2 linked regions of the Arabidopsis thaliana genome follow. The protein of the gene in region 2 purifies or fractionates together with the protein of the main gene of each other region. This does not show direct contact. Each region holds a gene or a part of one and is shown on either strand. Other genes may lie near its edges.

Region 1 (16,088 bases), on a different chromosome or scaffold from region 2:
TTTTTGTCGGGATGCCATTTCATGGCAAGTTTACGATAAGCTTTCTTGAGATCATCGTCGCTTGCGCTGCGATCGACTTGGAGGACTTTGTAGTAATCCACTCCCATCCGATCTTCTTCTCTCTTTCGCTTCTTCACTTTTCCTGATTCTGATTAATATGTATATATTTGTTCTGAGAGAATGAAATTTGCTCTGTTTCTTCTTTTGATAGTCTTTTGTTGAAGATTAGATGAGTTTTGGTCTTAAAAACGACGGATTCATGATGTTTCTTCTCAGAGTTGTGGAGAATTCTGTGGAACGTTCGAGAAATCTCTGAAAACCTCTGATTGTTTGGGTGACGCGTGTTTGCATCACAGGCTTTTCTTCGTTACCGTAACTCTCTAGCCCGTTAAGCTGTGGAGTTTAAAATGCTAAAGCCCATTTTACAACATTGGACTCAAAGTGAGCTTTTTATTATTCTACCCAAATCCGTAGTATATGGCTTTTTAGATTCAATTTAATTATGGATTTGTGAACGAATCGGTTGTCTTATATCATATAAGCCCTTCTTTCAAAGAAAAAAAAAAATTGGATTACAAAAGAAAATTACATGAAAACGAGAAGGAATAAAACAAATAATTAGTGATAAATTAAGAAAGAAATACAACAAGTGGTTTTGTTAACAAGGAATGGAGTGGGTAAACCAACGGAGGACTTTGATAGGAAGTTTGATGAGATCAACGGCGAAGTTAGCCAGCGCAGCGAAACAGAAGCAACATGGGCACAAACAACTCAATACCGTCCTGCAAAAGTTTTATTCATTTTTATCAATGTTTTATTATTCCTTCTCCATTGTAATGTAAGAAGAAAATTTATAAACTATATTTACGCAATGCAACAATATATTCAACCGAAATTTCCTTAAATAACACATGAACCGAAATTGGAGATTGAAAATGAAGATAACTGGATCTAAAAAACAGACATAATACCCAATGATAGTATGAATTTTGTATATACGTATTAAAGAAAAAAGAAACGGACACGTACCCAATGATCCAGATAACAGCACCAACGAGGGCGAGAACGAGAGCAACAAGAGCAAATGGTAGTCCTATTAAGAAACCTAGAGGTCTACAATCTCCCATTTTGTGAAGACAAAAGACTAAGTTTTTAGTTGGGTTTTTTTTTTTTTGGTTCGGTTTCTTAGAAAGAGGAAGAGAGAATTAAAAGGAGAAAAGTGAGTTTTTTTCAAATGAATGAATGAAGTTGAGAGAGTCGTAACCGTCGAACCCACGCGGCGGGTTTTTCTGAAATACGAGAATACCCTTCCGGTTTCTATTTGTTTAGCATCTATTAACTGAAGTCAACGGGGTTATTTTGGGGAAACTACAAGACTTTTGAGTTGTCTTGGAACCTTCCTTTTTCAAAGTTGTCAACAAATGAATGCTCCTCTTGTGGCTTGTGGAAGAGTTCTAAGACCGAATTTATTCAAAGAGAAGAATACAACTTTTAAAAGGGAAGATGCAACTGCAAGTTGTGCAACCACATGGGTGTAACATTAGAGAATATTATAGAATAAAACTCTTTGTCATATGAAATATGAAAAACTATTTACAAGCACCAAAAGGAATCAAAATGTGATGGGAACATACATACGTACCCCACGATTTAACATAGCTAGTTTAAAATACAGTAGAAGATAAAATTATTAAAATCATTGTAATTAACTTTGTCTTCAAAATGTTCTGTTTTGGATTCCACATTTATTTCATGCTGGGAGAAGGGATTAATTAACACCTCACCAACTAGTAATAAAAAAGGTTGCATTGTATAATGATATTAGCGAGAGCTTTGTAATCCACTGCTTCTTGTTAGCCATAGCCATAGCCATAGGTACTTTCGTTAAGCCATAGCAATACCAGGAGCTACACAACAAACCACACGAAATTCATGATAAGTTTGACTTTTAAAATCAATAATCAAAGAATCAATCATAAAAATTTATGCAGCAGATGCAGATCCAAAAACATTACCAAATCAGTTATGATTTCCCTTGATGTAAAATAAAAATAAAAACAAATTCTGATCTCCTTTGGTTTTCGGTTTCGTTCGGTTCATGGGGTTCGATTTGGATGAACCGAACGGTTAACCAAATCAGAAAGAGGAAGATTTTCGTTTTACATAAAACCGGTTAACGACGTTGGAACCGTTTCACTTTGAGGCCATAGTTATTCACGAGATCTAAAATGTTTATTTTGGGCAGATCATAGTCTATCTCTCTAGTCTCTTCATCATCAAACATTTGGTCTTTTACTATTTCTGGCCCAAAATTTTAGAAGCTTCATTATTCTTGGGTTATTTTAAGTTATGAGGCTTACTATTTCTGACCCAAGTTTTTTTCTTTACAAGTGCCCCATTGAGTCGATGAAAACGGCAAGCACTTGATTGTTGGAGTATCATCAATTATCCCACGAGAAACTCGGACATTATTTATTACCGTTAAGAAAATCAAATGAAGAGATGTTTTTCAGTAATAGAAAGGAACAGCAAATGAATTCAAACTGTAGCTTTCAGTTCATGGTCCCAACTAGTAGTTGAAAACAAAGACAAAAGTTTGCTCACCACAAGCTCATCCACAACAAAATAGATTTTTCATTTTAACCAAAATAATAACGAAAATAAACTCCACCAGTTGAATCAAAATATTGGTTTAATTGTTTGTGATAACAGTGACAATTTTTTTCATGAAATTTTACAAAGCAAGAATTATTGAAGTTTACTCACGCGGTTGCGTTTGTGGTCTCTTGCCAGTTGCCACCGCAACAAAGCATTGGTCTTCTTCGTTTTTTTCTTTACGTTTTTGTAATTGTGTTTGTGCTTTAACTTTATGTTATAACATAAACATGCAAACGTAAACACACACACACACACAAAAACGGTTATGGTGAAGCTCCAACACCAGCTCCAAAGTTAATGACTGCGTAATGGAATGTTTTGTTAGAACTAATTGGAAATCGATTGCTTTTCGTGTCTTTGTAATTGAAATCTATTACCATTATTTTTGTAACAAATAAAAGTTTTGGCCTTTTAATTTGGGGATACTGAATTTTATAGCCTATTTTCACAAGAATTTGATTTGTTGTTTCTATTGGCGATTTTCGAAATTAGTAGACCGTTTTCCCTAGCTATTTCCAAGTTAACAGGAGAATCGTTCCAAGTACATATATACATATGATATGCTATTTACAGCGAAAAAGATGATGAGTGTTGGAATCATAATTAATGACCAGTAGTCCTTTTACGAAAGTTGCACTTCATTTTTAATTACAAACACACATGATATCATTTCCATTCTAGTCGCTATCAAGTCACATGTGGGTGTGGTGGCCCTTCACGTCCACTGATTGTCAAACCTCTAATATCAGTTTCAAAATTAATGTACATATATAGCTTTTCATCTCCATCTCTATATAGAGATTCAATACTCAATTCAATATAACATTTGTATATTACTCGAGCTCATAGATTTATTTTATTGACCTATATATTAAACTTATTGGCTAGCTAGCTTTTTCTGTTATTTTTGAAATTTAAACTTAGCTAGTTTTTAATATTCCAATAGTAGAAGAAAACTATGAAAACTCACTGTAACTCCATGCTGGGAGAAGGGATCCAACATCTCACCAACCAGAGTGTCGGGCCGTAGACTGAACTAGCTGACTGTGAGATCTTAGATCATTCCAAAATCAACAACTCCAATAATTATTTATTTTCGGTTTCTAAATGAAACAATCTTTATCCTTTTCTTTATCTTAAACCAAATCAGTTATATAGAAGATTAAGTCATTATTAAAAAGTATCATCAGATCATCTCATAAATGGTAGCAACAAAACCACTCAAATATTCAACTATAAATTACTCCATCATTTATAGAAAGGAGCCTACGCATATATCTAGCAAATATTTGGAACTCTAGTACTTGACTTTGAGAAAACCCTCATTCAATATATATAGAGTTGTGTTAGCCTATAAGGGCCTGAAAGTATGTGGAATTTCTTACAATTTTCTTCCTTCACGATGTATATATATATATGCCGTACGAATATTGTGAACGTGAATTCGATTCAAAAAATGTGATGTGGAAACGAGCAACAACAATTATTGTAGCTCTTGAGGACCCATAGGACGTGCATGTCCACTTATACCTAATGAGACAATTCTGTCCTTTTTTATAAGAGCATCTTCCACAGCTTAATTTGCGAGCCTCATTCACGTCAATATATAAGGGGTATGTGATACGGTAGATGGATTGATTATTTACATCCATCTACATGTAAGTTGACCAGCATAGACCTTTTACATAGTGACATAGAACCGTTGAAATGCCATCCGATTGATCAATAATGTTGGGACAGACCAAAACCAAGATACCAAAACGGTAAAGGGACAAATGCGACAATCAGATATTGAACTTTAAAGTTGTGGCTCTGATCCAGTTTGGCAACAACTTCACTTAAATTTTTGTGTTACCAACAAAACAGGGAAAAAGATTCGCTAAAAGAGTTGCCTAAATATATGTTTGAGCTTGTTGTCGATATTTTATGTTTATCTAAACAGTAAAAAAAAAAAAATTTATGTTTTATTTACCACATTTAGAACTAGGCATATATATATATATATATCTTATTATATAAAGTATGGTTTTTAAAGTTGCTAACTCATAAGATTGTGTCACGTGTCAAGTCAAACGATCAGATGTTTACATGTATCATTCAAAATTTAACTTTTTTATTCTCTAAAATTAAATAGAAAATCTTAAAAAGTAAACAAATTTACATATACTAATTTATATGTCTATATATTTATAAACAATTAACATTTATTCAACAAAAGGAAAATTAACAAATTTGTCTTTAACTCATGTAATCATAAGTGAAAATAGAACATTTTGAGAAAAATAGCTTATCTTATAGGATTTAACTTTTCAATTATTTTCATTTATTAATTTTAACTCATTTAATATTAATTTGCATGATGTAAAATTAACTTACGAGATTACGGCATATATAGAAAATATATTTTCAACAATGTTTGGTTTCTAAATATTTTGTGGATTTCTTTTTTTTATTAATTATTAGCCCTAGGCGTTTGGGTATTCGGGTCGGGTATTTTGGGTTCGGGTTTTCGGGTTTAGAAGTTTAGGACCCGTTCGGGTAATTTAAGATTTCGGGTCGGGTTCGGTTTGGGTGGGTTTGAGTTTATTTATATATTGAAATATCAAATTTTGTGTGCAAATCTATTAAATTACTTGAAAATTTCAAAAATTCCCAAAACAACACGAGTAGTTTTGCTTGAATATATCTAAAAATACACAAAATAATTAAAATATCCAAAAAATCCTAATATTTTCTATATATAAGTATAAATATAACTAATATATATTTATATTTGAAATATGTTTGGATACGTATTCGGGTTCAGGTTCGAGTTTTTTGGGTTTTGAAGTTTAGATCTGTTCGAGTATTTGAAAATTTCGGGTACACCCGCCTCAATAGGCGGGCCTTATCTAGTATATATATATATATATATTTTTGTGATGGATTTCTTTCTGTCTCTCTCTATATATAGCATATAAATGAAAATGAATTATATTTGCCTTTAAGGGAGAAGAAAGAGACTTACTTTGGATATCAAAACATGTCTTGCTCTCTATTCTAATTAAGTCTAGCCTATCTACAACATACATAAACCTCTATCTACGATTATATTTGGATCTACAAGTGAAGATTGATCGATGTTAGCTCTGTCTCCGGCGACAAGAGATGGTTGCGACGGAGCGTCAGAGTTTCTTGATACGTCGTGTGGATTCACGATTATAAACCCGGAGGAGGAGGAGGAGTTTCCGGATTTCGCTGACCACGGTGATCTTCTTGACATCATTGACTTCGACGATATATTCGGTGTGGCCGGAGATGTGCTTCCTGACTTGGAGATCGACCCTGAGATCTTATCCGGGGATTTCTCCAATCACATGAACGCTTCTTCAACGATTACTACGACGTCGGATAAGACTGATAGTCAAGGGGAGACTACTAAGGGTAGTTCGGGGAAAGGTGAAGAAGTCGTAAGCAAAAGAGACGATGTTGCGGCGGAGACGGTGACTTATGACGGTGACAGTGACCGGAAAAGGAAGTATTCCTCTTCAGCTTCTTCCAAGAACAATCGGATCAGTAACAACGAAGGGAAGAGAAAGGTGAAGGTAATGATTTTAATCATATCATCTATATATAAAACATTAGTCTTATATGAATAAAAACCCTAGCTAGACTCGATTAAATGAACAGGTCTATAATGGATTCGTATTTTTTTTAAAAGTGGATTATTCGTTTAGAATTCATTTTCTTGCTAAATCTTCTAAATTTTTCATATTTCAGTCATGTTTACAAGACTCGTGTAAAGACATCACGTGCATCTCTATAAGACTTTTTTTCTTTCAAATTATGTAAAATAGTCAGCTGCTAATTGTGAATTTTATATAGTATGTGAAAAAGTATTGAAAAAATAATGAAGATGGTGGTTATATATATGTTGGGATGTGTGTGAAGGTGGATTGGACACCAGAGCTACACAGGAGATTCGTGGAGGCAGTGGAACAGTTAGGAGTGGACAAAGCTGTTCCTTCTCGAATTCTGGAGCTTATGGGAGTCCATTGTCTCACTCGTCACAACGTTGCTAGTCACCTCCAAGTTAGTATATTTCTTTTCAATTTCATTCTCTAATATTAACCATCCAAATTAACATGTTGCTGTTATTTGGTATACTAGAAATATAGGTCTCATCGGAAACATTTGCTAGCTCGTGAGGCCGAAGCGGCTAATTGGACACGCAAAAGGCATATCTATGGAGTAGACACCGGTGCTAATCTTAATGGTCGGACTAAAAATGGATGGCTTGCACCGGCACCCACTCTCGGGTTTCCACCACCACCACCCGTGGCTGTTGCACCGCCACCTGTCCACCACCATCATTTTAGGCCCCTGCATGTGTGGGGACATCCCACGGTTGATCAGTCCATTATGCCGCATGTGTGGCCCAAACACTTACCTCCGCCTTCTACCGCCATGCCTAATCCGCCGTTTTGGGTCTCCGATTCTCCCTATTGGCATCCAGTAAGTTCCCACATTTATGAAACCTTTACTTTAGCTCTTTATCATATTTGTTTTCATCATAGTATTTAACATTATGAAAGCTGAATGACACCGAGTATTTTTATCATATGCTTGTCTTTCTAACCAGCATTTTTGCATGTAGATGCATAACGGGACGACTCCGTATTTACCGACCGTAGCTACGGTAATGAACCAACATTTATAAGATTGTTTCCGTATGTATACCCCTTTTTGTTTCTATATATATGTTTTAAATCGTATTTTTGATTGGTAATTGTATAGAGATTTAGAGCACCGCCAGTTGCCGGAATCCCGCATGCTCTGCCGCCGCATCACACGATGTACAAACCAAATCTTGGATTTGGTGGTGCTCGTCCTCCGGTAGACTTACATCCGGTAAGAATCTAATATAATGAATTGATTGTTGTCGAGTTTTGACTTTTCGCATTTGATTATGTAATTATGTATTTTTGACTTTTTGTGTATATATATTATAAATGGAACAGTCAAAAGAGAGCGTGGATGCAGCCATAGGAGATGTATTGACGAGGCCATGGCTGCCACTTCCGTTGGGATTAAATCCGCCGGCTGTTGACGGTGTTATGACAGAGCTTCACCGTCACGGTGTCTCTGAGGTTCCTCCGACCGCGTCTTGTGCCTGAAACGCACAAGATCCGTAGGCAAGCGAGAACCAAACAAAAATTCGACGACATGTCTTTCAATTATTGTACTTTTATTTTTCCAAGGGTTGTTTTTGTTTTGACCCTTGTTGTGTTAAGAGTTACTCTTTACTTAATCGTCCCATGTGACTAATAAGGAGACCCTTTTCATATGTATCTAGGGTGCTAAGTACACTCTAGCTCTATTAACGCAAATAAATTACCTATATTTTCTCTAACCATTGGTGATTTAGAACTTGATTGCTTATATAAAGTTTTTTTATAAAACATAACACAACAAATTTCCATATCAAATGATCATATGGAAATTGGAAGCGTTCAAAGCAAAGTCGCAAACGACGACCAATTGATTATAAAGAGGACAACCTCACGAGTATATATACACTTATAATTTATAAACATAACTTATACTTAAAAATACCAGCCGGTTATATATGGTGAAAAATGAGTAATGAAATTGTGTGTTTACCATGCATATATTACCGTATAAAAACGTATTGTTGGGATTGAGAGAACAATGGCATAAAATAATAATGAGGAGAGAGGGAGAGGACCACGAGATAAGAGGAGAAGGAAGTGCATGGAGGCAACGTAAAATCCAACGTAACGACCTCTTCTTTCTCCAATTGTGACCACTCTCTCTCTCTCTCTCTCGTCTCCTTCAAATTTGAATGGTCCCTCTCTCTTCATAATTGATAATTCATATACATGCGGATACTATTACTAGCATCTCATTTTCCACTCACACTTGTACACATATGCTTTTTATAAGTACGTATTTATAGGCAAAAGTAAATATATTCAAACCCTACATGCATGGTATTAAAATCCAATATAACCAAAATGAATACTCGGTTCAAATTCAAAAATTTAAAGGACTTTGGTCGAAGATAATGAAGACAAATCATTTTTTTTTGTTCTAACCGGACATTCCAAATCGAAATGCACACTAGTTTTTGGTGCCTACATCTACATTGGCTAACTTTTACTAAAATCATAGTGAAAATAACAAAAAACCATGGTCTCTATAAACTCTTTGGTGAAGATTTCAACTACTAAATTACCATGAGATAGATGGTCAAAAATTGTCAATATTGAATTTACAAGGATCATGAGATATTTCAACAATTTTACTAATGACCAGATCCAATGCAGTGAATTAGACGAAACTATGACTTCACTAGGTTGTGAAAGAAAAGCTTGTCTTGCAGTTTTGTCTGCGACCGGTCGAAAAGAGAATGAAAATATGTCGAAATCCTCTTCAAACGTGAAATAAATTAACTGTCATAAGGATAAATTATGTTTGTTCAACCATACAGAAATATGATGAATAAATAATTTTAGACATGTGGGCCCATGTAAGAAGAACTCACTAAATGAGCCCAATACGGTTAATGGGCTGTGACATTGAAAAAGAGGTTGTAATGGGCTGATTGATTCTATAGTGTAGAAATCTTGATCGAGGGGTTATCTTCTCCGATTCCAATATTTAGATTCTTCTTCATATATTATTGTGCTTTGATTAGAGAGTTGCAGAAGAGTTTTTTTTGTTTTAATTCCTGCAATCAGAGAGTTTTCGATAGCACAAGCACAAGCTTCTCGATTCGTTTGAGTGTTCAAATTTCAAGCTTTTTACAAGGGGTTCCTTAGATTGATCTGTTACTGTAGAGATGGCTCCAACTCAGGATCCCAACAGTGTCGGAGGCGGTGCGAAGAAAGATGAAGCTACCTTGAAGGTTCCGTCTAAGGATCCCAAGAAGAAGGACGAGAAAAAGGATGAGGATTTGGTAAAGTTTCTTCTTTCTCGGTTTTTTGATTTATCGAATCCTTTTTCGACATTGTGTGTCGTGTTTAGTATCTGGGTTCATCAGAAACGAATTAATTTCAAATCTGTAAGATCTGCAGTTAGGTTTTTAATTGGAGTCTCGATCGAGTTGAAGTAGGGGTGTTATAGAATTAGGGTTTTTAATCTGGCAAAGTGAGTGTTTTGTTCGTCATTAGACTAGCCGGATTAGAAAGTTGTTAACTTGTGATGTGAGGAAAGTTTTTTTTGTTTGTATATGGTCACTTTCTTAATGACTCGACTTACATTGGGTTGTGATTGTAGTCTGAAGAGGACTTGGAACTAAAGCAGAACCTTGAGCTCTATGTTGAGAGGGTTCAGGATCCTAATCCGGAATTGCAGAAGGCTGCCCTTGAGAGCATGAGGTAATTCTTGACTTGATCAGCTTCGGGTTTTCAGATTATTGCCACTGAAGCTTGTACAACTTATAAAGCTTTTTTTCTTTCTCTCTGCTCTTGGTGTACATGTTTATGTTTTTAATTAGAGTTTTATTTGGCTTTGTAGGCAGGAAATCCGAGCTTCAACAAGTTCCATGACTTCAGTTCCCAAACCACTAAAGTTTCTGCGTCCCCATTATGGAACTCTTAAAGCGTTTCATGAAACAATGGCTGATTCTGATCTCAAAGTATGTCATCATTGATTTCAAGTCATTAACAATTCTTATATTGGTATGGCTTAAAAATTACATTTGCTATGTTTGCAGAAGTACCTGTCCGATATCCTGTCTGTCCTGGCCCTTACCATGTCTGCAGATGGTGAAAGGGTATGCTTCTACTGACTTGGGCATACTTTGTATTCTGATTTGTATTTTTTAAGGCATACTTTGAACTGCTAATCACTTTCTTTTACAATATAATTCCAGGAAAGCTTAAGGTTTAGATTGATTGGAACAGAGGGTGACATTGGATCGTGGGGTCATGAATATGTCAGGAATTTAGCTGGAGAGATTGCACAAGAGTATACAAAGCGTCAGGTTAGAAATCAATTTTCGATTTTGTCTTTGGAAATTCAGTTTCTCGTCCTAGGACTTGTGCAGATATTCTAAGATTGTTGGAAGTTGTGTTTGGGTTTATCCTTCTGAATTCTGATGGTTGGAGTTTTGAGGAATGACTAAATGTGTCTTATTCAATGAGAAAGGTCACTGAGTCATATTTATCTACCTGTTCATTATCTCAGAGTGAGGAGGCCTCTATTGACGATTTAATGGAGCTTGTGCAACAAATTGTTGCTTTTCACATGAAGGTGAATTCCTAAACTAATAGGGCTTGAGATTAGCACCTCTGCGATTTATTTATTTCTAAACGATTTCATTTACTCCTTGCAGCATAATGCAGAAACCGAAGCTGTTGATCTTTTAATGGATGTTGAGGATCTTGATCTCTTACTTGAGCATGTAGACAAAACAAATTTCAAGAGGACATGCAACTATCTCACAAGTGCAGCTAGGTACTTTAAACATAGTCAATCCTATTTATTTTATTTTTCCTCACTCTTTGTTATTTGAACTGATCTTGTAGAAACAAGTGGTGAGCTTTGTTTATATTTGCTTCCAAAAATCTCTCTGACGTCTTATATATTTGAATTTTCAGGTACCTTCCTGGACCAGATGACATGTTGGTTCTAGATATTTCCTACATGATTTACATGAAGTTTGAAGAGTATCCAAACGCTCTGCAGATTGCACTATTTCTTGATAACACGCAGGTAGGACTTTAATCTTTCTATAGAACGTAGTTTCATTTCATTCTTTCTGCGTGTGAAGCATTTGGAAAAATCAATCCTCTATGTTTTATTTCGAGTATTTGCGTAGACATTTTTGATATTTAATGTGCTGTATGGTGTATTTTCTGTATTGCAGTATGTTAAACAAGTATTTACCTCATGTACGGATCTGCTGAAGAAGAAACAGTTCTGCTACATGATTGCTCGTCATGTAAGTCCTAACTATCTCTACTTTACTACAATTCTATCTCATTCTTTCTTTTCGGTATGTATGTTTTGATTTGGATCTTTACTCCTATATGCTTTGATAGTTGGTTGTGCTTTTATTCGATTGTATTTTACTTTCCAGCTGTTACATAAAGTTAGCAGAAAAAAAATGAGAACATAGTTTGTAGTTGTAATTCAGCATGATCTAGAGGGAATTTAAATATGTTTCTTGAACATTATTTTTAGTCCAATTTTGTATTGTTTTTCTGGGAAGACCTCATTCTTTAGCGACACTGGCCTCCTCCTATTCTCTTCTAAGGCACACACAGATTAACTGCTGCATCGCTGTTTAAAATTTCCATTCATTTAGAGACACAATACCCGATTGACATACTTTCTTATACTTCTCCTCTCGTCGTATGCCTCCCTGCAGGGTATAACCTTTGAACTTGACGATGAGATGGTTGCAGATGATGATGACCGGGAAGCCCTACAGGATATTGTTAACAACACTAAGTTAAGTGAAGGATATCTGACCCTTGCAAGGGATATTGAGGTCATGGAGGCCAAAACGCCTGAAGACATCTACAAGGTAAATCAGTTTTAATGTGTTAGGCTTGCTACTCATTTATTTAGTTACAAATTATGTTTCCCTCAGTCTTTGACCTGCCCTTTTTGAATTTTATAGGCTCACTTACTCGACGGCAGGGCTAGCTCCGGTGCAAGCGTGGATTCTGCTAGACAGAATTTGGCTGCTACCTTTGTCAATGCATTCGTAAATGCTGGTTTTGGTCAGGTATGGTTGCAGATTATAATAAAATAGATCTAGTGGAAGACGTGTCCTCTTAATATATTTGCTTATCGCAGGACAAACTAATGACAGTACCTTCAGACTCAACCACCGGATCTTCTGGAAACTGGCTCTTCAAAAATAAAGAACATGGCAAGACTAGTGCAGCTGCTAGTCTGGTATACTTTTTCTTATTTGATGAATTTATTTACTGTGCTCAGATCATGGAAGTAAGAATTGTAACCAGATCTTTTTGTTTCCCTATCATATAGGGTATGATTCAACTGTGGGATGTGGACTCTGGACTTTCCCAACTCGACAAATATTTCCATAGTAATGATAATCCTATCATTGCTGGAGCACTGCTGGGAGTTGGGATTGTAAATTGTGGCATTAAGAACGATTGTGATCCTGTGAGTTGCTGTCGTGTTTGATTTTGCTGGGACCATTTGTGCTAATATTTGCAGCCACTCTTCCATCTTACTCAGCCTTATTTCTCAGGCATTGGCACTTCTTGGAGACTATATAGACAAAGAGGATTCATCTGTCAGAATCGGTGCTATCATGGGTCTTGGAATTTCATACGCAGGTTCCCAAAATGACCAGGTACTTGTTATATTCTTTCCCATATTACTACTTGAATGTTTCGGGTGTTCACAAAACTTTAACACGTACACTGTTTCAACAGATTCGAAACAAATTGTCCCCGATACTGAATGATGCAAAAGCGCCTCTTGATGTGATTGCATTTGCTTCACTTTCTTTGGGAATGATATATGTTGGTTCCTGTAACGAAGAAGTAGCCCAGTCTATTATATTTGCTTTGATGGATCGAAGTGAGGCAGAACTGGGTGATGCCCTCACTCGTTTCTTGCCACTTGGTCTTGGACTTCTATACCTGGGCAAACAGGTTAGCAATGTGTTTTACATAATCTCGCTCTTTGTTCGTATATCATTATTTGCATTGCTTGACCAACATCAACTTGTTCCAATATCTACCAGGAAAGTGTAGAGGCTACAGCTGAAGTTTCGAAGACCTTCAATGAGAAGATTAGAAAGTATTGTGATATGACACTTCTTTCTTGTGCTTATGCTGGAACTGGAAATGTCCTAAAGGTATCTAATCAATTGTGCTGGTGGTTGAGTGACATAATTCATTACTTGTTTAGTTGTTGACTCCTACTTATATTTTCAGGTACAAGACCTTCTTGCTCAGTGTGGCGAGCATCTTGAGAAAGGTGACATCCACCAGGGTCCAGCTGTGCTTGGGTTAGCAATGGTTGCTATGTCTGAAGAACTGGGAGTTGATATGGAGATCCGTTCTCTGGAGCGGATGCTACAATACGGAGAACAAAACATTCGGCGTGCTGTGCCTTTGGCCCTTGGTCTCCTTTGTATATCCAATCCAAAGGTAAATACTTTTGTAAATGTAGTTTTACTGCACCTGCTTACAATTATTAGTGGGCGTCTAGAGTAATACTGGGTTTTTAATATTTTTCCCACAATTCCAGGTGACTGTAATGGACACCTTGAGCCGGCTTAGCCATGACACAGATTCGGAAGTTGCCATGGTTAGCAATCATTTCGCTTCATAGCCTGTCCCATATTATTTAGCTGAATAGTATTGAGAGAGGACTGATCTTTCTTTTGACTCGTACAGTCAGCAATTATATCATTGGGACTGATTGGCGCTGGAACTAATAACGCAAGGATAGCCGGGATGCTTCGGAACCTCTCCAGCTATTATTACAAAGACATGAGTCTTCTCTTCTGTGTAATGTGTTCCTCATTTTGGTTTCTGTACCCTGCGGTAAGCTGTTGTTCTTGTTGGAATTATTGTAACTAACTTGGTAAGTCATTATGCAGGTGCGTATTGCTCAAGGGCTTGTGCACATGGGAAAGGGTCTCTTGACACTCAGCCCCTTCCACTCTGAACGGTTCTTGCTATCGCCGTAAGTTCATTCTTTTTGTCACCAATAGAACCAAATCTTTTTTGATAGTTGGATGTTCAAAGGTTTCTCATGCGGACCTTATTTATGCAGAACCGCACTTGCTGGTATAGTGACACTTTTGCATGCATGCCTTGACATGAAACCAATCATACTCGGGAAGTACCATTATGTGCTGTACTTCCTCGTTTTGGCGATGCAAGTGAGTTCAACTTCTGTCCTGTGTTTCTCCCTCTTGTTAGTTAGGTCTGATGAACTTGCTATGATTTGATATTTAATCAAATTTTGTTAAAAAAATGTATAGCCAAGGATGATGTTGACAGTGGATGAAAACCTGAAGCCACTGTCAGTGCCAGTGCGGGTAGGACAAGCAGTTGATGTGGTTGGGCAAGCGGGTCGGCCCAAGACCATAACCGGTTTCCAGACACACTCCACACCTGTTCTCCTGGCTGCTGGAGAGAGAGCCGAACTAGCCACGGACAAGTATGTTATTCTTTTTCCTTTCTTCCTTGTACCCTTTATGTTGCCTACTTAGGTGTCTGATTATAAAACTCGGATTTGTAACTGGCAAACAGATACATTCCTCTGTCGCCAATACTAGAAGGATTCATCATCTTAAAGGAGAACCCAGACTACAGAGAGGAGTGAAGAGAGAGAGCTTCTGCTTCCAGCCAGTTGTCACTAGTTTTACTATTTCGTCTATTATCTCATGGTTTTTCTACTCTCCGTTTAAGCTTTGTTTCATTATCTTGGGATCTTTGTATGACCTGACGCTTTTAGTTATATAAACTTTAGTCTCTTTTTTTTTTTTTTTTTTTTAATCGCCACCAAGTCGACACATATTCTTGCCAAAACCAATATTGACTCAGTTTAAAAAATAACGATCCATAAAATTTTCCAATTACTTTGATCACATAAAAAAAGTGAAGAAATGTTAGCCACTTGCATAGTGCCGTTCAAAGACGCACAAATGAAATTGGGCTTTCCTTTGGCCCAAAAGTGTTGCGATCGCGTTTATAACAAAAGACTAAGGTTTCGTCCAAACTAAGATCGCGTTTATAGGGTTTATCATCATTTCCCGTAATCGTAATCGGAGTTCAGGCTTCAGCATTCTCTCTTCTTCTCTCTCGCAGCCGTAGTTTTTGATCTTCTCTTCAATTCTCTCTCCTGATGGCCACGTCCGCCGTCCTCTCCGGTGCCAGATCGATGCTTCGAGCTGCTTCCTCACGCAGCGCCGCTGCTTCTACTGGCCGCTTCGCCTCTCAAGCGAAATCCGCTCCACCATTGTTTAGAGCCACTGCCAGAAGAAGCCCACTGCTTTCTCCTCTCCGGTTAGTCTCTCTCATACCCATTTCCTTATTTGAGCTCATTTCACAGTTTTGTGCTACTTGAAGCTTGAAATGGGTTAAATTCGATCGAATTGTGAAAAAAAAGAAGGAACTTCTCTATGTAAAAATTACATTTTTGCGTTAATCATGTTTCCAGATCGATTATTCACAAGTAAAAAAGATGAAATTTTGCATTTTGATGTTGATTTTAAATGTGAAACTCTCTTATCACATTACTTAAAAGAATTTGCATTTTTGTTTGTTTTTGATGTGAATAGAAATCCTGTGGAACTGAGCTTCTGTGTGGAGTCATTGTTACCATATCACTCGGCTACAGCTTCAGCGCTAATGACTTCAAAGCTTTCTATCTCTGGCCAAACCTATGGCTGGCTCTCTGACGGTACTTTCTCACATCCT
Region 2 (16,088 bases):
GTAAGGAAGAGGCGAAGAAGTTGTTACGAGGAAGAAGATGAAGATAACCAAAGCATGTGTAGTTCATCTAACCCTCAAACAAAAGGGTATTGGTCTCCGTCTACACATAAGCTGTTTCTTGATCTGTTGGTTCAAGAGACTTTAAAGGGAAATAGACCCGACACTCATTTTAACAAGGAAGGGTGGAAGACGATTCTGGGGACTATTAATGAAAATACCGGCCTTGGTTATACGAGACCGCAGCTGAAAAACCACTGGGATTGCACTAGGAAAGCTTGGAAGATCTGGTGTCAACTCGTTGGAGCAAGTAGCATGAAATGGGATCCTGAATCTCGTAGCTTTGGTGCAACAGAAGAGGAATGGCGAATCTATATTCGGGTATGATAATGTTAGTTGTCTTAACTATTATCCTTCTCCCATTGGACTACATTTTGAACAGATAGTGTTTGTCTTTGGTTTATTACAGGAAAACCCAAGAGCAGGACAATTCCGCCACAAGGAAGTTCCTCATGCTGATCAACTTGCAATCATTTTCAACGGAGTGATAGAACCTGGAGAGACATACACTCCTCCTTCGCGTTCGCGCAAGAAGCTCCTCCACAATCGTTCTGAATCACCACAATGGCGTGACACAACTCCATTATCAAAGATGCACGTAGATGAAGCAGAAACCTCCAGGCAAAATGGTTGTTATGCAGAGTCTCAAGAAGATCGGATAGACAGTGAAAACGCTCAACCATTGGATGATATGAAGTTAATGAATGACGTTATGTTGCAGGAAAGTCCGGTATTCGTTGAGATTGAATCGGCAAAGCCGATGTACAGCATTGGAGAATGCATTAAAAGCCTCAACGCAATTGAAGAGGTCGAACAAGGTAGTGAGCTCTACATGTTTGCGTTGGACCTGTTTCTGAAGAGAGAGTATAGAGAGATCTTCTTAGAGCTGAAGAAGCCCAGTTTGAGAATCGCATGGTTGCAGAGACTTCAATCTACTTCATTTCCTATTCCTACTACAACATAGGTTCAAGTGTATTTTACAAGCCATCCTTTTTGTACTCTGACCTCTGTCTCTGTCTGATGTTATACCCAAAAGAATCGTTCTTTGTTAGTTCTATGAATATGGATTATATAAAAACAGACAGGTAGAGAATCATGTTGATGAACCTTTGAATTGCCTAATTCTTAAGTGGTTTGTGTTAGAATTGTTCTCACTTTCATTCATTAGGAGAAGATATTTAGCATTTAGTTCTATGCATATTACGAGAGAGCAGAACAAGGTTTGGGACACCGACAACAATGGAGTGTGTGAAAGGGGCTTTTGAGTGAGAGTTGATGATTAGAATCTTTTTTGAATTAAAAAGTAGATAAAGCGAGTGACGACAAAAAACAGTACCCAAAGTGGGCAAAAAAAGGTTTAGTCGCATCCCAATAATTAATTACCCCTTTAAGGTTAAGGAGTAATTTTCTAAAAAGTAAGAAACTAAAATTAACGCGCCAGGTAGGGGTCGAACCTACGACCTTCTGCTTAGGAAACAGACGCTCTATCCACTGAGCTACAGGCGCTTCTGCATTTATTATATTTATTCTTTCTTTTTCAATCTTGTTTTTGTGGCGGCTTATGAAATTTCGTAGAAGTATCATTTTCAAGTGGTACGAAATACAAAAAAAGACATAAAGAATAAAGTGTCGTTAAGTTTAAGCTTACGTGTTATCTCGAATAACATTAATTAAGTTACATCTATAAACAATTTGTAGCAATCGCATTGTTTTTGTTAAGTAAAGCAATCGCATTGTTTTTGGTTTTTTTTAGTAAATTTGAAGTTTTTCTCCTTATTTTATGTGTGTTTTATGATTAGTTAAGCCTTAGACATAGCCGACGTATAACACGTAAACTATCATTAAGTATGAACAACTTTATGTGTTGTCGCTTTTATTTTGAATAATATTAGAGAAAAACTACCTAACAAAAAAAAACGGTGTATACTAGTGGTTATTAAAATTTTGGAAAGATATGAAATGTTGGCCTAGCTAGTAGCTAGTTAGAATTTTATAATTGAAGTTTATTGTTATTTTTAGAATTCGTGTCATTGTGAAGAATCCTCTTTGGAATAAAATGAAGCCAAGTAGGGGAGTGGAGTGGTTCCATTGGCTAAAACTTTTACACTCTCTCTTTCTCTTTATAACACAAACCACAAATACCTTCTTCTTCTCTCCCTTTGCTTCACAATCTCTCCCTATCTATCTTACTGATTATCTCTCTCTACCATCTGAGTTTTGCCTGTTTTGTATTACTTTGACGACCCACTTTTGCAGATTCTCAAGGATTCTTCAAAGTCTTAGTCTTTTGTGTTTCTTTCCAGATTCTTCAATTAATATACGCTATAATCTCTCACTAAATCAGGTTCTTTGATTCCATCATTAAACTATTCGTTAGTTTTCCCAGTTTGATTCCTATATATCTTTAGATCCTATAAGAAGCTTCAGTCTTTTACTAAACCCACAAATCAAGCTTCCAAGAATTAGAGGAAAAATATTAAGTACTTTATTTTATAGGTAGAACTTTTATCTCGTAGCCTTTAAACGATGGAGACTCTGCATCCACTACTCTCGCACGTGCCAACTTCTGACCACCGGTTTGTAGTTCAAGAGATGATGTGCTTGCAAAGCTCGAGCTGGACTAAAGAAGAGAACAAGAAGTTTGAGCGAGCTCTTGCTGTCTACGCTGATGACACGCCTGATCGCTGGTTCAAAGTTGCTGCTATGATCCCTGGAAAGACCATATCAGATGTCATGAGGCAATACTCTAAGCTTGAAGAAGACCTCTTCGATATCGAAGCAGGACTTGTCCCGATCCCGGGTTACCGTTCAGTTACTCCTTGTGGATTTGATCAGGTTGTGAGTCCACGTGACTTTGATGCGTATCGTAAACTTCCTAATGGAGCCAGAGGATTTGATCAAGACCGTAGGAAAGGAGTTCCATGGACGGAGGAAGAACACAGGTGAACAAAGTTTTCAATCTTTGTGATCCTTGTTTCACTCTTCTTTGGTGTCTTGAGTTGCAAGTTACTTTGTTTTCTTGGTTTGCTGAGACCTTGTTTAATTGTTTTCTGCAGGAGATTCTTGTTAGGGCTTCTCAAGTATGGGAAAGGAGATTGGAGAAACATATCGAGGAACTTTGTGGGATCAAAAACACCAACTCAGGTTGCAAGTCATGCCCAAAAGTACTACCAAAGACAGCTTTCCGGTGCGAAAGACAAACGACGGCCTAGCATTCACGACATCACCACCGTCAATCTTCTCAATGCCAATCTTAGCCGTCCATCGTCTGATCACGGTTGCTTAGTCTCAAAACAGGCCGAGCCGAAACTAGGGTTCACCGACAGGGATAATGCAGAGGAGGGAGTTATGTTTCTTGGTCAGAATCTATCCTCGGTCTTCTCTTCCTACGATCCTGCCATTAAGTTTTCCGGAGCAAATGTTTACGGTGAAGGAGGTTACTGTATCTCACAAGATCTTGAAACGAGAAAATGAGAATTTTGAAATTTTAACTATTGCAACGAAACCATAATTATGTTTTATTTAAAAAGTTATGTTACATTATTAGAGGAATGTGAATATGTATGTCTTGTATTTATGGAATAAACATATATTAGCTAGTATATATGTCTCTTTGCCAAAACTATCAATAATGGTGAAAAGGACCAAGTACCGGGTTTATGGCTTTACTTGCAACTTTAACGGTCAGTCATTTTCTTGGAAAATTGTCTCTAAACCTGAACATTTGATCGATGATAGTAGATAAATTAGTATAACATTACTCATTTACGTTTTATATTTTCTTAAAATGATTCATCACAGAACTATACACAAATACTGTTTTCTAAGGTAAGAAATTGTCTTTAGCAAAAAGAATGTATAGAATTTTATGTAAGAAAAAGGAATTAAAAAGTGAGGGTTGGATATATTTGTATGTGTGTGTATGGGTGGCAAAGCTGACCACTAACTTGTAAACGGTATATAATTAGAAGCTGAGTCTGCATTCCACTTTCGGCACACAGAATCACATTCTTTTCACCTATTACACCAACCCTTTGCTCCCTCAATTTTGTTAAGTTTATAAATAAATTAAGGGTGTCCTTGGATATATTATTACTCTTTACAAACAAAAATAGCAGTTTAGTACAAGTGGAACATATATACAAGCTCCTGTTTTAAAATTATTTTAAGAATGTTTTTTTTTTTCCGTATTTCTTTTAGTTAATTTAATAAAGAGCTAGAAAATGTGATATATGTTTTCTTTCATATCAGAAGGAATATATAATGCTTTGTTTTTTCCCTTCTTTTTGTGAAAGAAGTCAAGTTGGAATTTATTAAAAAACATAAACAAAAGTGATTTAGGAAATTTCATTGGATGAACGAATCGTTAAAGATACTTATTTTTGTGCAAATAAAGAGAAGTTATATTGAATCGCTTTGTTATAAATTTGAAAGCTTTTAGTTTTCTAATTAAAAAATTTGAGAATATAAAAGAAAAGCTCACTTTTTAATCACGAACAGTAAGTAACTACTAACTACGTAATATGATTACTCTATCTCCATATATTAATTTGATTTGATCAGTAATAGTGAATAGTATATACTATATATAGTCACTTTAAGAGCATCCGAACCTTATTTATTTTTTGCATGCGGGAATAAAACCCTAAGATACTACTTAATAATGTAGGTCGGTTGGAGTCGATATAATTCTAACACCACCTATGACATTCATCGATGAAGATGATGAACCATATATATTTTTAACGAAAGTGGCATCACACAATTCAATTTGTTATTTTTTTTTCGTGGCTCCACTTTTGATGAGGCGTTTGAATGGAACCCAATGAAAGGTCAATCAATAATAGCCGTATAACTTATAATATGTTTGGATCATAAAACTGAGAATTTTTGTATTGACACCTTTCTATATATGTCTATTTAGTAACACTCAGAACGTTCTTTATATAAATTAATCACTTTGGTTACTTCGTCACTATGGATTTGGTCACCTCAATGGGATATGCGACCTAACCACTAACTAACATACTAATATGAAAGTCGTCTTCTTGAATGCTTACGTCACGTCTGTATAGTATACAACTACATTGTTACTTTTCGTAGTGAGCTACGTTATTTTGATTTTTATTTTGTTTACACAAAATTATAACGGTTTCGATTTTTGAAACTTTTTTCTTATAGATATCTAAGTAAAACAGGACAGTAATATATTGATTTGCAAAATGAGTATCCTTAACAAGGATTAACATAATACACAATAGAAAAAGAAGGTGTTCAAAAGAAGTAGACTTAGAAAAAGAAGAAGCATAATGCGTATCAAAGCACGTTCTTGTTTTCGTTTCTGTCTTTTGGCATCAAATATCCTTTTCACGAACATTACGCCATTTATTAACTTTATTTTCCTCCATAATCCTTTTTCACTTTACTTTTTCTTCTTGTTGTTTCTTTTCAATTTAAAGAAAAGCTCATCAAAATGTATAGTCTTCCTTTTTACATCTAGGTAATATGCAAATTATTCAGTTCTGCTAGTAAACAAATTCATAAGTAACACCCTTGTTGTGGTCAATGGCTCTAATCAGAAATTTCATACTAAGGACAAACATGAAGAACATGTTGACTTTGGAAAACGAACAACATTCAACCGGGGCTGTATACTCGGTCACGATGTGAGAGTATAACAGAAGGGGGGGGGGGGGGGGGGGGGAAATGTGAAAAAAAAAATCTTAATTTCAATAGGATAAGACCATCTCTGTGGAGATTTCGACACATTGACGTGAACTTTTGTATTCAAAACCCCCTCAAAAGAGGCCTAAGCCTAACGAACTTGAAAGATAAAATGAAAAAAGACTCTTTGATACATTCTGAATCAGAACAACTGAGAGAATTCAACAATGTCGATATCAAACTAAACTCGTTCGTTCCCCCACCCTGACTTGACCCTTTGTTTTGGGGAAGAGAACACACAATAGCTGCCTTCATCGCGGGCAATGATGACTACAGTAAGTCACGAGAAAACCTGATCTAGCTGGTGGCAGGTATGGCCACAGGCTTTGAGTCCTCTGCTTTTTCATGTTCCTTGTTCAGTAACTGAAACACAGCATCATCACAAGATTTAGTTCAGAATCACATTATTGTGTGCCGTGAGAGAGAGTAAAGTAAAGATCTAACCTTGTTGTTGATCAAGTTGTGGAGCGCAATTACACTCCGAATGAGGGATGATAGATAGATAACGAGCATCATGTCATTTGTTTTCACTGCACATTATAAATACAGTAAAGATTAATGAAGCAGATCTAAGAAAGCAGCCCAATATAATATCAAAATGATAGCAGAAACTCACCGGAGAAGGCCTTGACCAACTCGTTCACATTCAGGTTAGGAAGCAAGTTGAAAACGTCCTGTCGATTTTACGAGAATATATTTCATTAGACGAAATCAACCAACAGCAGAGACAGTGACTAGAATATTTTAAAGAGCGCAAAACACATAGGTTTGGACATTGTCAAATAGTTTCTCCATAATTTGTAAAATTCAGAACACGAAACGGAAATATAGTTCTAACCTGTAGATGGTATAAAATCTCATGGTTTAGAGGGAGCTTTCCTTCGATTACAAGGTCAAGATAACTCCGGATCTCCCGAAGACGTGCATCCAACCCCTTCAAAGCAGTAAGTTTTGCAGTGACCTGGTGCAAAATACTATAAAGTTATTTATGTCCTCGAGCAGAAAACTATTATGTCCATAAGTAACCTTGCAAGAACATCAATACAAATCCTACAAGTCCCCCATCATGATTTCAACAGACATTTAATGGGAAGATAATGAAAATTTCATGTATTGTAAAGACAAGAACCTCAGTCGCGAGGGTACTGATTGTTGTGTCTTTCACATCCCTGAGCAAATGCTCCACGCCTGTACAAGAACAAGAATGACGCAGGTAAGTGTCAGAAAATCTTCCTCAGAACAATCACAAAACACATTTCTTTAAAACTCAACCGAGATGATGAAATCATCAAAAGAACTGTTTTCCCTTTTGGACATACCGATTTCCTCAACTTCATGAGCAGCAATTTCTGTAGACACATGAACGAAAACTTTCTGGCTTTTCTGAGTAGCATTCTGGAGAGAAAAAGAAGTGTTTAATCAGCATCTGATTATAATAAGCATACAACTTTACAAAAGGGACAATATTTGGAAGGGTTTGTATCTTACCTCCTTAACCTCCTCCACTGCATAGTATGCTTTGGTAGGGATTCCAAGTTCTTTAGGCTGGACATCAATAATGACCAGGACTGGATTTGGAACATAGCTGCAAAACCAAAAGCAAAGTGAACCTTAATTGGAGATGAAACCGAAGCCACAAAAAACGTAAAGTGGGAAAGAAACACAGATTTCAGCCTAAAACAAATCTTTATCACAATTTAAGAACCAGAAGATCCTCAATCCATAAAGGCCAATCAATTGATATCTGAATGATTAAACTGGAAACTAACCCATTGAACAACGCGTGAACATCCAAATCATTCTCTCGAAGTTTAGGGCCTGTGCTGTACCAACCTACAACATGCTCCTTGGCTGAAAAGCAAGTAGGTAGTGTTAAAAGCATGGATTTCTACAATGTCATAAACAGTATAAGCATCAGTTTCCTGAGAAAATACCATTAATTCTCTTGAACATGTGGAACATTGACTCATGGTAGTTGTGATCAAGAAACCAGATGCTTGGGTCTTTGTCATCCTCCTCAAAGGGCACTACAATTCAAGATGTCAACATGTTAACACGAATTCATATGTAAACAACATCCATCTATTAAAGAGGTTTCTAGTGACAGTGTCCATAGATAAGCAAGCACCTCTGCAAACTTAAATGCAACTAAATCAACCTAAAACAATCTCTTTCTCGACGGGGGCTCGATTGAATCTTAAACCCTAGCGAGAACGTGATTTAACTGAAGTAAACATCAACTCTAGAAGAGGTCAATTCCGGAACAGAACAGCCACAAAAAAAACCTAAATGGTGTTATTATACACATCTGCCTAGAACCCAGGTATGAATAACCACTCAATTCAAGTTTCAGTTTAGAGACCTCAACAGAATCTGAGATCTGGGATCCAAGAGTACTAGAGGAAAAAGGATAAATAAGGCATACCTGCATAGCTGTTGGTGACATCAACAACACCACGAGAGCTGCTCCCCAGAAGAACACCGACGACACGCTTGCTTGAATCCTTAGCGACGCGATTGTAATGGTCGACGATACTAAGCAAGACTAGTGGATGAACAACCACTTTCTCGATCGTCCTTGCTGAAATCTGTTGCGTCTTAATCACATCCATTGTTTGAAGAATCAAGTAATCTGATTTCTCCGGAGAAGATTTGAAAAACGTGAACTTTCCGATCTGGTTTTCCTTTTTTTCCCGACGGAGCTTGAGAGTTTGCTTCTTCTCCAGGAAAAACCACTTTGCACTAAATTGCTTCTAATATGGTCGTTTTATTTTATTTCCCTATAATGGGCTTTTCTTTTGTTAAGCCCAATATGATGGGCCTGATCACGTCATTTATTGGGCAATTTTCCAATATACATTTCTCGAAAATTTATTAAGACGGTGGATAATTAAATAGGATTTTATTTCTTATTTTATCAAATATTTTGAAGTAATTTTTCAAACGAGTGCTGAAAATATGAATTGTAGAGGAGAAAATAAAATAAAATAATGACAAATTAAGTTGTGGAGACTTTCAAAAGTGTAAATCATAAATGTGATACAAAAAGAAATATCATCCCTTCCACTATGGTAATGTTATAACCCTAAATCGTAAGTACTCATTTCACGGGTAGGCCACAGAACAGAACAGGCAATAAGTGAAGAGAAGAAGCTAATGAAAAAAAATGTAGCAACGATATTATTAGGTTGATATTGTTACAAGGGAAATTTGTCAAAATCTAGCTAGATCTAAATAAATGTGATCATCATGTCTTTATTTCTTAGCAACGTCACCACTAGAGTTGTACGTTAATATCAAATCCGTTCATAGAAAGCTTAATCGGAGATCCAACGGCGAATGTTCCATCTCAGCCCCACATGTTGAGAATGTAGAAAACGCCGTCGTATATGCTTGCTCTCGTGTGTATTCGTTGTGGCTCGCAGCAGTAACGTTTGCTCTCACTCTCTCAACTTTCGATAATGGGAAGAGTTGCAACGTCTCTATCATTTTCTCTTCTACTTTACAAACTTCAAAAATATTTATAAGAAACCAAGACACATTATTAGCGTCTTAGTGATAAACTGATAATATATACTGTAAAATGTGATTATAAAACAATCTAGAAAGAGATCTTGATTAACCTTTCGCTGGTAGTTGATGACGACGTACGTTGTCTCGGCGAGGCTTAGAAAGATCTGTATCTTGACGATGATCAAACTTGACGGTGGAGATTTTCCGGCACTTTTGTCTCTCTCTAGCTTTATGGTTTTGGAACCAATAGAACACGTTCTTGCTCTCAATCTTACCGTAGAAACTCAGCTCCATAGAGATCTTCTGAATCTGGTCCGTGCTCGGTGTTCGCAGTCCCGCCTTGAACAGATCTGTCAGAAGCTTCACTTGCTCCACCGTTGGATTCCACCGTCCACACTTCGCCCCCGTTCCTCCTCCTCCGTTGTTGTTATTACATAATCCTCTAGCTTTAATGTTGAATCCTCTCGACGACATTATTAATTTCAAGAAATAGTTATCTTAGTGTTTGCGTTTTAGGGTTTTGGATATGTTATATGATTATAGGCGATGGACTTCGTGATGTGAATGGACCAAGGTTTGAATATATAGATGAGTAGATGATGTTTTTTTGAATGTTTGTAGATTTTTTTCCGATATGCTATTATAATCAAAAAGAAAGAATAAGGGGAATAGATTAAGTAACTGTGTTCGTGTTTTGAGTTTTGTGTCGTTTAACTAGTGTTGTGTAGGATAAAGGTAGAAAAAATCAAACAGAATCAGTGCGTTGTTTATTACGAAATGCATGCTTTTGTTTTTGGGATTCGGGAGAGACTGAATTTTCCCGAGAATTGATCGTTTTCTTTTATCCTAGTTAGCTAGGGTTACTTGCTGCGTAATTTCATCAGTAATTGTGAACTGATTGATTTCTTGATTAAATGTGGGATGTTGTAGCCTGTGGGGTTGAGTGATGTTTCAATTATATATGTTGCAAATTTAAGCTAGAGAACATGTAGCGTGTGATCAGTTGTCGTACGATAATTCTAACATTAGCCGCAAAATTTAATTTAATGATTGTGTGAAGTGTGAACAAATAGAAAAGCTCATGAATTAACGGAAATTTTTCCACAAAAGCTGTGACTTGATAAAGTAGTTTGGTCGGCAGATGGTGATTAGAAAATTAAGTGGAAGCCTTTACAAGAACATTTAGATTTAAATTAATAACTAACCCTGTCTATAATAAAGTGTTAATTAACACACAAAATGACTAAATATCAATCAAAACATGACAGTGTAGGATTATATCTTTTTAAAAAAAAATCACTTTCAAACTATTTTTTCGTTCTTTCCTAAAATGACTTTTTCAATCGGAACATCAACAAAATTAATACTATAAATTTAAAACCAGTTACAGTAGTACAACGCTACGTATGTATATATACTTCCTCGTAACAATGTTATCTGAATGACTAAATAGTCTAAATATCAATCAAAATATGACAGTGTAGCGACTAGGAATTTATTTTTTTCAGATGTATTTTGGCATGGTGATATATATGTATGTTGTTGTGATTATTGTGTACGTGAGTCATTTAATGGTGATGATTTTGAGGAAAAATATGCACGAGACGCTAAGCGAGAACTAAAGATCCAAAGAATAAAATGACAATTAGAATAAACCAAACATTGTTTTTATAAACAAGAGTCTCTCCGCTACACAACATACTAATGCGTACAAACGTTATGTATTTTATCATCACACTTGACTAATTTAATTTCAAATTTGTAAGAGAAATAAAAGAAGCAGATCAATTCGGCCTCAAAGTCAAAGTTTATGTTGGCGTTTCTACTTGGAATCATCCATAAATTAACTAATCGTATTAGATAACTCTTTTTGTGTTAACATACATAATATCAATTGGAAAAAATTTAGGTGTTCTCTAGCTTGACAACAAAAAATTCATTTGACCATCTTTCATCAACGAAATGTTGGTTTAAGAAAGAACAATAATATGAATCAAACTTTTATATTAAAAATTTTAAAGACGGATTTTATGAAGTTTAACAAGATTTTTAAACTTTATATGGTTTTGTGATTTTAAAATAATAAATCAAAAACTTTGTTTCTTTGTTTCTTTTAGGACATTTGAAAACGTTGAACCCGTCACACATGATACATATTATTTGGTTCTATATTCAAGTATGTTATATTAAAACGAAAATTTCACTTTGGAACATATATATATTGAGTGGAAGGTGGTCTCACATTGTAAATTTGTAAATCCCACTCACATGCAATTCCCAATGATGTTACATGCACCATTAAAGAAATATTTCTAGTTTTTCTATTAATGTTATACTGTATATAACGTATAAGAAATGAAGCTTCATGCGACATAAGTTTTGGTTACTAGTTCTTGGCAAAGGGTTTTTTAATTTTCTTGCTCTAACTCCTAGGTCAATGTCGTGTATGTGATCATCAAAAGTTTTTAAAAAAAAAAAAAAAAAAAAATCTTATAAGAAAATTAAGTTAACATCATGCGTTGTCAAAAATCAAATTACTGTCATTTTGTATAATTTAAAATGTCTATCCTAAATGACCTTGTTCAGATTGCGTAAGTTCTCGTTTTATGATTCCAATTGCAAAAAAAAAAACAGGAACTCCCATCTCTAAATGCATTCAAGATAAAACGATTGGTAAATTGAGAGAATCAATACATTTATATTGCAAATTTTTATCACACTAATTAATTCGTTGATAAACAGTAAACACTCACTTAATAACATCTGAACTATTTTTTTTTGCTAAGAATGTAAATATTTCATAAAAATGAAAACAATTTAGGTTTATAATCGATGATTATATACTTACAGAAATGGTTCCATGGCAAAAAAAGTAAAAGCATGGAAGCATAAATCATAACTAAAAATCTTTAAGTATGGAAGCATAAAGCATAAATCATAACATCTGAACTTTGAATAAATGTTATTTGTACGTAAAAGAAAAAAAACATGAAAAAATCGCAAAATTGGGAAACAAGGGCATGAAATTGTGGCATGCTTAAAATGTAGACTCCTACGCCTCGCGAAGCTTGGGAAGCTTCCTTTTTGGATCTCCTCGCTTCCACGTTTGTCGCTGATCCATCCAACATTACCCCAAACCTTTAATTTCCATTCACTTCTTATATACAACTTTCTAATCTCACACTTTATCTTTTCTCTTTATTAATATCTTAGTAAGCCCTTCACAACAAACATGAACAAAATTAAGATACTTAAGTGATTTTTTTCTCATGCTTCTCATATGCTTCCTTTGTTGGTCTGGCTCGGATCATGTGACTCATTCCAAAACTTCGGTCTCATTCCATTTATCTTATATACGAAACAAATTTGATATTAGGAAATCAGCAACAAAAAAAACAAAGACTTTTCTAAACTAAAAAAGACGGAAATAATATTGGGTTTTGGGCCCAAAGTTAGATTAATTAATGCCTAAACGCACACCTTTTGGTTGCCAAATGTTAAAACGGGACACGGTCCAACAAGAATAAAAACAACAAGACGTTCGATGTTATAACATAATAATGACACGCACTTCTATCAATTTCTTACTACTGTGGAGATGTATTCAATGTTATATTTCGAGTGATTTGATTTATTTTGAGTTTTTATATGATTTTGAAAAAATTGAGTGAATTTAAGAATTTATTATGATTTATTGTAAAATCTTCTCAAATTCAAGAAGTTGTTATAACCTAAAATTATGAGATTTAAAATTCTGTATTTTGAAGTAAGTAAATCCATTCAAATTAACTTAAGTCTCAAATGTTTTTAATAACATGGGATTTTTAAGTAGATTTTAGAATCACTTGTTCAATAACATTAGATTTTATTAAACTTTTAAAAATTTATAATTGAATAACATAAAATTTGTTATTTTGACGTAAATCGAATATGCTCCCTATATGTTTCTCAGTCTCTTTCTCCGATTGATACATCTCTCGTTACTCTCGAAATAAAGCTCATCATCTGAGGAAATTCATCAATTTGCCGGTGACTTTAGTTCAATTCCGACCCTCCGATGGGCTCGACGTTCAGAGATCGGACGGTGGAGCTTCATTCACTGTCCCAAACATTGAAGAAGATCGGGGCAATCCCGTCCGTTCATCAAGATGAAGATGATCCGGCATCATCCAAACGGTCGTCTCCGGGATCCGAATTCAATAAGAAGGCTTCCCGGATCGGGTTAGGTATTAAAGAAACGTCACAGAAGATCACGAGGCTCGCTAAATGTACGATCCAGTATCAGATCTATGCTCGTCATCTTCATATTTAATTTCTGCTGGAATCAATTTCGTCTGGATTTGAATAAACATGAGAAATGTTAGGGTATTTGATCCGGATAATGAAATTAGGCTTTTTTTTTTTTTTTTTTTGGATTCTAACGAGGTTAATACATAGATTCCTATAGCTGTCTTGTAGGAAAGGTGTAACGTAAACCCTGCTTTTATGCATTTAGCTTGCAACAAGAAATGGTGCTTAGAAGAAAATAGAAAATTCCATGTTGCTTGCTGCGGAAGTTATTTGTCTGTGTTTAGATGTATTGCATATGATCTTTAAACGATTCTAGTGACATTGTTGTGATTACAATTGAGAGCAGCCTTAGTTTTTGTTTACCTGAAACTTTTGATGAATCACAGTGGCAAAACAATCGACGATTTTCAATGACCGGACTGTGGAAATACAGGAGTTAACTGTGTTGATCAGGAACGATATCACGGGGCTGAATATGGCTCTCTCGGATTTGCAAACCCTTCAGAACATGGAGCTTGCTGATGGGAACTATTCACAGGACCAAGTTGGTCATTACACTGCTGTTTGTGATGACTTGAAAACCAGACTTATGGGAGCTACTAAGCAGCTTCAAGATGTTCTAACTACGAGATCAGAGGTTGGATTTGCAGATTTGTCAACCTTTTATTGATTTGTATCTGCCTATTATCCTACAATGGACAGTGTTTTATTGAGATATGTCTTGTCTTCCTGCAGAACATGAAGGCTCATGAAAACCGGAAACAACTCTTTTCCACAAAAAATGCAGTAGATAGTCCGCCTCAGAATAATGCAAAATCTGTACCTGAGCCTCCTCCTTGGTCAAGTTCATCAAATCCTTTCGGGAATTTACAACAACCACTGTGAGTTTTGTTTAAGAACTACTTCCTATGTAATAGTTGTTCTTATCTAATTAGGTTTTGTCTCCTGTAACCGATCAGATTACCTCCATTAAATACTGGAGCTCCGCCAGGTAGCCAGCTCAGGTATGTCCTAATTCCCATTACTTACAACTCTTGATTGTGTTTGTTCACCGTTATGCTTGAAGGTCAAAATGATGTATAAAACATGATGTTTTGTTTATGTCATGCTAAAACAGACGCAGATCCGCGATCGAGAATGCTCCTTCACAGCAAATGGAGATGTCCTTGTTGCAGCAAACAGTCCCAAAGCAGGAGAACTATAGCCAAAGTCGAGCGGTTGCACTTCACAGTGTTGAATCAAGAATAACAGAGCTCAGTGGAATATTCCCGCAGCTAGCTACAATGGTCACACAACAAGGAGAGCTAGCAATCAGGTTCGTTAACGTTTTCTTACCCACAACCCGACATTTTCCGAGTTGCTGGGAACATCATCTAACACCTGTTAGTTTTATGGAACAGAATCGATGACAATATGGATGAATCGTTAGTTAATGTAGAGGGAGCACGTAGCGCTCTTCTGCAGCATCTCACTCGAATTTCGTCAAATAGATGGCTCATGATGAAGATCTTTGCTGTTATCATCTTGTTCCTGATTGTTTTCCTCTTCTTTGTGGCTTAAAACAATACCATTTTATCTCTTGTTCCTGGGGGTATCAAATCTATACATATGTTAAGCTTGTAAGCTTCTAGGGCTCCTTTTTTTTGTGTGGATAGTGGAGTGTCAAAAAGTTTAATTTTTCTGCAAGACTCAGTTGTATTTTACCAGGAAACTTCTGATGTAATAGCATTTAACTCAAGTAAAAATTCAAAGCAAACAAAGTAATTATTATTCTAATTAAGATATAATCACACATAATATGTTTCATACTAAACATCATAAGGAGGACAGTAATCAACGTATATGAGTTTGGGACTTAGAAATCAAACTACTGAAGCATCAACAAAAATGCTCAGAAGTTAGTAAGTACCATAGCTATGTCTCAGAACAATCCAACCAAGTTTCTTGGATTTGAGTTTACTAACTTGGTGCTTCAGTCTCTCTCTGACCTGGATGGTTTATGCAGCAGCTGCATCAAACCTCTTCATCATGTCGCAACGTGGCGTTTCGCGGATATATCCCCATTGTTGTCTCTGAAGCTCATGGCGACAATTCTGGCCAAGTATAGACAAGTAATCTCTATCAACTTGCTCTTCAACCCTCTGTCTCTCGAAGCTACTTATCGGATATTCCTGCTCGAACTTGGCTGATCTCACAAAGTAAGTGACGCCCCTATGCGTGGTGAATTTGAGCTCGTAGTTATACGATGAGAAAGCGAGTAAATTGGTTGAGGAGAAGGCAAAAAGTTGAGTAGTAGTATGAACACAACAGGAAGTATTTGAAGAAGTACACGAGGATTGAATCCTGTATCAGAAGCTTGATTAGCTGTTCTAGTTCCTCCACCAAAATTGAATGATCGGAACTGAGTAGTAGCAGGATTCATTTCACCACCACCAAAGAAGCTTCTGAAAATCTCATCAGCATCAAATTCATCGTCGTAGAATCCATTGAATCCGTTGTTTCTT

What was found.
Region 1: the proteins of RPN8A (region 2) and RPN1A purify together in Arabidopsis thaliana (affinity purification with mass spectrometry; 2 studies listed by BioGRID, with this or other methods). This does not show direct contact.

Annotation. Positions count from the first base shown.
Region 1 is NC_003071.7:8,849,709-8,865,796, forward strand, and holds RPN1A (26S proteasome regulatory subunit S2 1A), read left to right. Parts: upstream 1-9,253; 5' UTR 9,254-9,502; coding exon 9,503-9,619; intron 9,620-9,939; coding exon 9,940-10,040; intron 10,041-10,179; coding exon 10,180-10,300; intron 10,301-10,378; coding exon 10,379-10,438; intron 10,439-10,537; coding exon 10,538-10,648; intron 10,649-10,851; coding exon 10,852-10,917; intron 10,918-10,999; coding exon 11,000-11,121; intron 11,122-11,264; coding exon 11,265-11,379; intron 11,380-11,533; coding exon 11,534-11,608; intron 11,609-12,037; coding exon 12,038-12,196; intron 12,197-12,292; coding exon 12,293-12,400; intron 12,401-12,471; coding exon 12,472-12,573; intron 12,574-12,666; coding exon 12,667-12,807; intron 12,808-12,895; coding exon 12,896-13,000; intron 13,001-13,082; coding exon 13,083-13,304; intron 13,305-13,396; coding exon 13,397-13,510; intron 13,511-13,589; coding exon 13,590-13,805; intron 13,806-13,905; coding exon 13,906-13,965; intron 13,966-14,054; coding exon 14,055-14,168; intron 14,169-14,260; and 9 more. Other genes in the region: AT2G20560 (DNAJ heat shock family protein), read right to left, coding at 1-107; AT2G20562 (taximin), read right to left, coding at 659-782, 1,030-1,127; GPRI1 (GBF's pro-rich region-interacting factor 1), read left to right, coding at 5,778-6,242, 6,310-6,357, 6,589-6,729, 6,808-7,152, 7,295-7,336, 7,435-7,548, 7,659-7,814; NFD6 (nuclear fusion defective 6), read left to right, coding at 15,514-15,674, 15,950-16,088. UniProt on the Arabidopsis thaliana protein: Acts as a regulatory subunit of the 26 proteasome which is involved in the ATP-dependent degradation of ubiquitinated proteins. Required during embryogenesis. Required for optimal plant growth and stress responses. Required for innate immunity.
Region 2 is NC_003076.8:1,728,167-1,744,254, reverse strand, and holds RPN8A (RP non-ATPase subunit 8A), read right to left. Parts: upstream 8,526-16,088; 5' UTR 8,394-8,525; coding exon 8,207-8,393; intron 7,809-8,206; coding exon 7,716-7,808; intron 7,633-7,715; coding exon 7,551-7,632; intron 7,367-7,550; coding exon 7,270-7,366; intron 7,177-7,269; coding exon 7,101-7,176; intron 6,970-7,100; coding exon 6,911-6,969; intron 6,743-6,910; coding exon 6,620-6,742; intron 6,456-6,619; coding exon 6,398-6,455; intron 6,312-6,397; coding exon 6,226-6,311; intron 6,145-6,225; coding exon 6,079-6,144; 3' UTR 5,515-6,078; downstream 1-5,514. Other genes in the region: AT5G05800 (Myb/SANT-like DNA-binding domain protein), read left to right, coding at 1-378, 467-1,021; AT5G05790 (Duplicated homeodomain-like superfamily protein), read left to right, coding at 2,584-2,999, 3,114-3,531; WOX7 (WUSCHEL related homeobox 7), read right to left, coding at 9,400-9,768; SYP31 (syntaxin of plants 31), read left to right, coding at 13,352-13,562, 13,971-14,221, 14,320-14,465, 14,544-14,588, 14,702-14,899, 14,985-15,144; AT5G05750 (DNAJ heat shock N-terminal domain-containing protein), read right to left, coding at 15,776-16,088.